2 linked regions of the Mus musculus genome follow. The protein of the gene in region 1 interacts with the protein of each later gene in a biochemical or structural test. Links are inferred from orthologs where the notes say so. Each region holds a gene or a part of one and is shown on either strand. Other genes may lie near its edges.

Region 1 (3,749 bases):
TTGTCGTAGTCAAACAGGGCCCTGGATAACACAAGTGACTATGGGTCAGGGCCTGGCTGAAGACCCCAGGAAAGATTCACCAGGCACCCCGAGAGCCAGCCAGATTCTGGACAAGGGATCTGCAAGCAAAGTATGAACCTCCCGGTGGCACACACACACACACACACACACACACACACGGGATCTGCAAGCAAAGTATGAACCTCCCGGGTGGCACACACACACACATGCACACCCACACACCCACACACCCACACACCCACACACACACACACACACACACACACACACACACACACACACACACACACACACGGTAAGCAATCCCAGACCTGTCTAAGGACAAAAAGCTCTGGGAAGTTTCTGAAAGAACAAAGGTGCAGAGAAAAGCAGTGGGGCTGGGGAGAAAAGCCCCCGAGTCATGCAGTGAGAACTAAATGACCCCCAGCACCTGCTAGCCTCCCACAGAGAGGGAGCGCTTAGGTGTGGGTCCCTAAGACATAACACAGGCATCCAGGAGAAACACAGCAAGCTGAGTCTAAGACATGTTGGCTGTGACAAGCCTGTGGACAACCCAATGGAGATGGCCTAAAGGCAACATCCAGAATGGTTGGAACCTCCAAGAAGGCATCCCACCAGGCCACACAGCTCTCAGGGACACCAGTATAGCAGAGGGCAGATAAGACCAGCCACCTGAACAAAGAAAGCAGATGGAGGGGAGAGACAGGGAAGGGGAGGGACGAGACCTCAACGCCTTGTGAAGAGACAGGAAGGGGACTCATGAGAAAAGAGGCCCCGAGAAGGGAGAAAATGCTACTGAGCAGTCGGGAGGTGAGCTGAGGTGGATTTTCAACGGTGGTTTTGGTGCCTGCCTAACATGTACGGAGCCCTGGATTCAATCCCTAGCACAGAGATGGAAGGAAGGGCAAGAAGTAAGAAAGACAGGCGGCGGGCACAGAGGAGCTGCAGTCCTTCCGCAGAGGCTTCCCACAAGGGTGCCAAGCTGGAGGAAGACTCAAAATATCCCAAAGCTGGGCATGGTGACAAGTGCCTGTATCTATGGCAGGAAGATTATTAAAGCACAGGGGTTCAAACTCAGCCTAGGGGATAAGGGAGGGAGGGAGGGAGGGAGGGAGGGAGGGAGGGAGGGAGGGAGGGAGGGAGGGAGGGAGGGAGGAGAGGAGGGAGGGAGAGAGAGAGAGCTAGAGACGCCTGCTGTGTCACACACTGGCCTTAGGCCCTACCATTGAGAGCCATTGGTTAGTGCTTGTGTGACCGGGACCTAGAAGGCAATTCAAACACTTGGGGCAGGCACTAAATTTCAACCAGATAATATACTCCAGAAGACCAGTGTGTGCAGCCAAGTCTATGAACCCATGGCTAAGGGTCACTCACGTCTGGGTGGGAGAGGAGAAGGGCAAGATTTAGGGAAGGAGCTGTGTGGGGGATGGGCAGGAGTTCATGGAGGCCTCCAGAGCCACGCCAAGGACGCTTCTTACCTGATATAGAAGCCCCGCTTGGGGTTGCTTCGCAGAGATGCAGTCCCTGAGCCCAGGCTACTATTCATAAGCTGTTCCCGAAGATCATGGATCTTGGCCTCGAATCGGCTATACTCTGAGAAAGGACAAGAAGGTTCTGGAACTCTGCCCCATCCTAATGCCACACCCCGCCAAACCTCACCCTACCCCTACTGAGACCACCTGTCCGTCCATCAGCTAAAGACAATGCTGAGGACCACCTTAGCCAACAAGACAGGGAAGCTTAGGCGTGGTACCTTCTGGTTTATACTGAGCGATGATCGTGACCGTCTGACCCGCGTTCTTCAGGGCAATGGCAGCCTGTTCATGACTGGCATTGCGGAGGTCAACACCATTGACCTAGAAAGGGAGAAGACACTGTCACCTGGGATGGGAAGACAATTTGGGACTCAGTGAGTCAGGGAGTGGTCCAACCGGACCTGGCTTGAGCCCATTGAGCCCCTCCCCAAGAGCACAGGACTCTCTTTGGTGGGCAGTGCAGACCCTTGCACGGGCCTCTCTCACCGACAGGATCTGGTCCCCCTTCCGTAGCTCCCCACTGAGGTCAGCTGGACCCCCAGCAAGGATGAAGGAGATGAAGATGCCTTCACCGTCCTCGCCGCCCACAATGTTGAAGCCCAGGCCGGTGGAGCCCCGATGGATCACGATCCGCCTTGGTTCCCGGGGAATATCTTCCTCCCCTAGCAGGTCCTTGGCCACGGGGGAGTAGCGCCGAGGGGAAGTGGGGGTCATGGCTGTGGGGTAGTCGGTGCCCAAGTAGCTGCTATGACTGATCTCATTGTCCAGGTGCTGAGAATATGCTGAGGGGAGACAGGGTGAGATGAAAACGCTTTGACGGTGGTACCCACCCTTCCACCCTCTCCAGAGGGAGCCCAGAGCCAGGCTCAGCCAAAGAGGAGTTATTCTGCCGAAAAGGTTTGTGGGTAACCCGCAGCAGCAGGGGTCAGAAGTTTACAGATGACATCAAAGGGATCTGAAGGTCGTATGTCTTTAGTATGGCAGGAATGGGGACAACAGGGGAATATTAGCATCATGCTCTTTCAGACTGCCTTCTGATTAAAGTGTCTCTCGGGTCTCTCAATCCACAGTATTCCTCTCCCTTTGCCCAGTCATTCCTGGTTTCTGTTTGTTGGTTGGGTGGTTGGGGTTTTTTTGTTTGTTTGGTTGGTTGGTTTTGGTTTTGGTTTTGTTTTAATTGGGTCATTTGTCTAAAGTATTTTCCCACATTCTTTGAGGGCTAGCAGTCTGCTCGTTTCCCTGTGGTCTTGCTTAGCCTGTGCCCAGCTCAGCACCGTTTTTGTTTTCCCAGATTTGTTCTAGAGGCTCAGTAGGCTCAGATTCAACGTGAAAATGTTCACCCAGGGTGGAGTCCTGTGCCTCCCAAAGAATGCAGTGAAGTCTGCTGGGTGTGGTACCCACACTTCAGATCCACTGGGGCAGCCGAAGCACATTGAGTTCCAGGCCAGCCCGGGTTACATAGTAAGACCCTGTCTCAAAAGGAAAGGGGAAGTGGGGGCCTGTCTGCCTGTCTTTCTTGAACTGGCAGGTTCTGAGGTCATCAGGCTGGCCTGCCCATACAACGTGTTCTATCAGGCTCCTTCCGTAGTCCTTGCAGGCATTCAGGATGGTGTCTAAGGCTGATGCTCAAAGAGACTGCCAAGTGTTAATGTTGTACAATCATTAATAAGATTTTTTAGAAAGGACCTGCTGAGTGCTGTGTTCGAGCCTACTATCCCACTGCTGTAAACCGAAGGCCGGCGTGGGTTACATGAGGACTTTGAAGCTAGCCTGGGCTACATAATGAGACCTTATCTCAAAACAAAAACGGTAAGAAGACATACAGACCCACACACGCGTGCACACAAGAACTGCTGCCCAGCACCTTGAGCTTACTCTGTGATAAGCTTACACAGAGGAGAGCGAGTGGATGACTGATTCTCTCCCTTGCTTACGTTTCCAGGAAGAAATGGTAGGCCTCTAGATAACCTAGCGTCCTCCAAAGGTAACAATGGAAAGTTATCTTGTCATGAAGATGGGAACACAGGCTTTGCTCAGCCTGGACATTCACTGCATGACAGACCCCCAGCCTGTGTCCATCTGATCAAGTTTGGTTTTGGTTTTACTTTCAAAGATCTATGTTCCTTGGGCCTTGGCTGAGCTCAATCGATCCTCCCACTTCACACCTTTGAGTACCTAGGTCTACAGACATCC
Region 2 (4,214 bases), on another chromosome or scaffold:
CTTTGCCCTATTAACCTTTTCATTACTTCTGGTGGGTGGTAGGTTAGAATGGAGGTTGAAGCATTTAAGAACCCTTATTAAAGTAAGTTTTGAAAATAAGACAACACCTATAGGCTTATATATTTGAATGCAAACTCTTGAAAAGGATTAGAAGGATTAAGAGGTGTGGCCTTGTTGAAGGAGTATGTCACTGGGGATGAATTTTGGGGTTTCAAAAGCCCATGCCAGGCCCTGTCAGACTGTCTTCTGCCTGCAGATGGGGATAAAGCGCTCTGGCTACTTCTCTAGCACCATGTCTGCTTACATGCGTCCCATGATGATGATAATAATGGACTACCCTCTGAAACTGTAAGCCAGGCTCAGTTAAACCTTTTCTTTAAGTTTTGCCTCGATTATGGTGTCTCTTCACAAAAATGGATCAGTGACCAAGACACCTGGGCATGGGCCTTGCTCTGGAGTGTGGTTGATATACCAATACTCCACTGGAACAAAACAAAACAACAATTTTCCTTTTCCCAGGAGGTATCAATTGCAAACAGCTTCTTGGTTCTGAGTGGGATGGTGTGTCAACTCTCCCATTCTCAGTGCTAGGATCTTGTCTGGTTTGAACCTGTTGCAGGTCTTGTGCATTCCTTCAATCTCTGTAAGTTTAGATGTGCATCAGTGCTCTTATGTCTGGAGGATACTGTTTCCTTGGAGTCATCTACCAACTCTGGGCCCTAGAATCTTTCCTCTTCTGCACAGAATCAAAAAGGCTTAAATTCACTGCATGATGTGACCAACGCCTCCCAAGAGAATCTAAGGTTCCTGAGAGCAAGCGCTCCATCTGCTTTTGTTCACCTGAATCCCCATCATCCTCAACAGTGTCTGATGCTAGGGCAGGTGCAACTGTATTACACTGAGCACACGTGGAATGAAGCACTGCTTCTGTTCATCTTCAGGAAGTCCTCCTTTTCTGCTCCTTCACTAGCCCATCCTAATTCTTGTAATTCTCAGTCTCAAAGATGCCTTCTTTCTGCACTCTGACTTCTTAAACACACGGTCTGATTGGAAGAGAGGAAGTTTCAGAAGGCAAGAATTCTGGTAAATATTGCCTTAAACTTCAAACTCATAAAAATCAGTACTAACTGAAAGAATCTAGCTCTTTATAGAGTTACTTAATACAATGGGTTTGCCCATGCCTTGATAATGAAAGTAAGGTGTTTGCTTTTTCCTCAAAACCATTTGTCATGATTAGATTATAAGCTATATAAAAGATTAATTTAACATCCTATCAAATGACCTGGGCGTCGAGGTTCACACTGCAATCCGAGAACAGGGGGAGGCTAAGGAAGAAAGACCAGTTTTTAGGCAGAACGGTTTGGAGCCTGCTTGGTGACAATTCCTCTTCTCACCAATAGTCCTATGGATGTAAGACCACCTACAGTCCACCAGTTTCCATGGAGAACAGCTCTGGTACAGAAGTACAATATGAGTTTGTGGCCAGCGTCTCTACACAGGTAGTGAGTTCTGGGGTAACCAAGTTACACAGTGAGAACTTGTCTCAGAAACAAAACCAAAAAAACCCTGAAATCATGTCAAGTGGACCATGGGGATGTCTGAAAAGATGGAGCAGACACAGCACTGTTACTTTAACAGATTTAAAACTGACAGACAAGATTTCTGCCGAGTTTTCTGCCGAGGCCCATGATAAGTACTGATGTTCACACAGTGCCTTATATGAGGCAGACACTATCATAAACTCACTATGTAGACGTAGATTTGAACAAAGTTACATACTTTGTAACTCAATGTCTAACGTTATAATGGGAAACCATTGCATTCAGTACTTTGAGACCATTTCTCATATTTCGAAGGGCAAAAGAATGACAGAGTAGTCCAGACAAATGCCATTTCAATTTCCTATTTAATAAAAATATTATGACTCCCACAGCCTCTCTTCCAGACACAGATTTCTGAAATCAACCTAGTGTTTGCCTTTCCCAGACACATAGAAATGAAGATACAACACAGAATGTGAAAATGTGCTAATAACTGAAAAGCCAGAAAGAGTCTTTCTCTGATCTCTTCATTCCAGGAGCCTGTCCTGTTCTGGTCTGCAAAGGACATTTCATTTGAACAGCCGCTTTTAGGCTGAAAGGGTTGGTATCTGTTCAGGTGACAATTCCTCTTCTCATCACAGGGTCCACGACAGTCTTGATCTGAGCGCCTGCATCCACAACTAGTTTCTGGTAGAGAACAGCTCTGGTGCAGATGTACGGTTCCCCAGGGACGGGGTTAAAGGAGATTGTCAACAAGTCCAACGAGTCCACCCCTTCTACGCAGGGCCGAGCAGTCGCTGTGCAGCCCTCGGTGCAGCCCGCCGGGCAGCGCACTCTCCTCCCGCGGCATTTCTGCCCGGCCTTCCCCAACCTCCCCTACTGCACTGCCAGTCCTTGGTCACCCACCGTCCAGTCCATCCCGTCCTGAGTCTCCAGACTCGGTCCCCGGCTCTCACCCACCTCCCGCCACCCTCACCTCTCGTTCGCCGCCGGCCCGGGTGTGTCGGCCGGAAGCCCCGCGGCAGGTTCCTCGCTGAGCATTGAGACCCTGCGGCTTCTCCTCCGAGGTCGGGGCTGCTTCTGAGCCGCCGGCTCTGGCTCCATGTCCGGAGAAGGGGGGTTGGTGGGGCGGTGGCCCAGTGCCCAGGAGACCGATCGTGGCGGGCACAATGCCCGCCAGCTTCTGCGAGGCAGCAAGTCGCCTTCTAGCAGAGAGCGGCTACCGCCGTCATCCGGGGATTTGAAAATGGCGGCTGCCCAGAGATCGGCCAATCAGAGAGTGGGAAGCGGTTGCTAGGCTACGTGGAGTCCCGCCCTAATCAGAAGACTTCATACCAAACTTTTAGGAGCTCCAGTGACAAAGGGAAAGTGGTAAGGTGAAAGTTAGGAATTTGGGGATTTATTTTAACTACACACCTTACTCCTGAAAGGCAGTCTCTATTCACTAGAACTTTCACTTGCAGGGCAGGAAAATGGATCGGAAGCTGTTTATCATTTGTTGTTGTTTAGCGTTAGACAGGATGAAGGTATTGACCCCAAAGCAAGAGGCAGTTGGACGTATAAACACTAAGTTATACATGTGGAATATATTCCCAATTGCCAAAGACAATACTTTGTTCTCCAGGATGTCTCTAGAGAACCAGTGAAATCTAGTTATGTACTCCTGTCTTTCAGTAAGTAGGACACAGTCGCTTTACCGAATGGAAAGGGCTGCTTTCTCTGCTTGCAAGACTGCAAAACGTGCAGCATGAAACAAGGGACCCTGCTCAGGTTATTATGTGAAGATTGGTAAATAAAAACGTTCTCTGATTTTAAATATCGCTAATGGTCTTAAATGTAGTCTCTCTTGTATACAGGGAGATATTAATGATGTTGTGTATAATAGAAAAATTAAAGGCAATCTAAATGAATGACTGGGAGATGTCTAAATATAACTGATTAACTGTGAAGACTGCATTCAGCCGATAAAGAAATGGTCTTCTTCAGGGAATACCATTGGTTAGCCAATACTAACAGCTAGCCCTGAAAACATACAAATAACATCATACAGACTGAGCTGGCTGTATTTGTGTATTTAGGAACATATATGTATAACATATTGTTACATATTGACTATGTAACAATAATTAATAAAAAGAGTCCATGAATGTGAAAGATAGCAAGAAGGGGTATAGGAGAGAGTTGGGAAGGAGAAAAGAGAAGGGAGAAAATGGTGTGATTATATTATAATCTTGAAAATAAAAGAAAATTAAAAATAAGAGGTATATAGTAAAACAAAACATTGTGATTTTAACTGAAAGCATAAAATATGAAATATAGAACAATGATGGCTAGTTTTATGTCAATTTAGAAAAATTCTGTTTTAGGGTTTTACTGCTGTGAACAGACACCATGAAAGAGACAGCCCTTATAAGGACAATATTTAATTGGGGCTGGAATACAGATTCAGTCCATTATCATCAAGGCAGGAACATGGCAGCATCCAGGCAGGCATGGTACAGGAAGAGCTGAGAGTTCTATATCTTCATCTGAAGGCTGCTAGCAGAATACTGGCTTCCAGGCAGATAGAACAAGGGTATTCAAGCTCACACCCACAGTGACACACTTACTCCAACAAGGCCATGCCTCCAAACAGTGCCACTCCCTGGGCCAAGCATATTCAAACCATGACAA

Evidence for each region.
Region 2: the proteins of Dlg4 (region 1) and Net1 interact in a biophysical measurement, tested with the Homo sapiens proteins (2 studies listed by IntAct, with this or other methods). The link is inferred for Mus musculus from reciprocal best matches to the Homo sapiens genes DLG4 and NET1.

The regions. Positions count from the first base shown.
Region 1 is NC_000077.6:70,037,612-70,041,360, reverse strand, and holds part of Dlg4 (disks large homolog 4 isoform 6 precursor), read right to left. Parts: intron 2,339-3,749; coding exon 2,043-2,338; intron 1,878-2,042; coding exon 1,775-1,877; intron 1,615-1,774; coding exon 1,500-1,614; intron 22-1,499; coding exon 1-21. UniProt on the Homo sapiens protein: Postsynaptic scaffolding protein that plays a critical role in synaptogenesis and synaptic plasticity by providing a platform for the postsynaptic clustering of crucial synaptic proteins.
Region 2 is NC_000079.6:3,915,421-3,919,634, forward strand, and holds the start of Net1 (neuroepithelial cell-transforming gene 1 protein), read right to left. Parts: upstream 2,801-4,214; 5' UTR 2,646-2,800; coding exon 2,518-2,645; intron 1-2,517. UniProt on the Homo sapiens protein: Acts as a guanine nucleotide exchange factor (GEF) for RhoA GTPase. May be involved in activation of the SAPK/JNK pathway Stimulates genotoxic stress-induced RHOB activity in breast cancer cells leading to their cell death.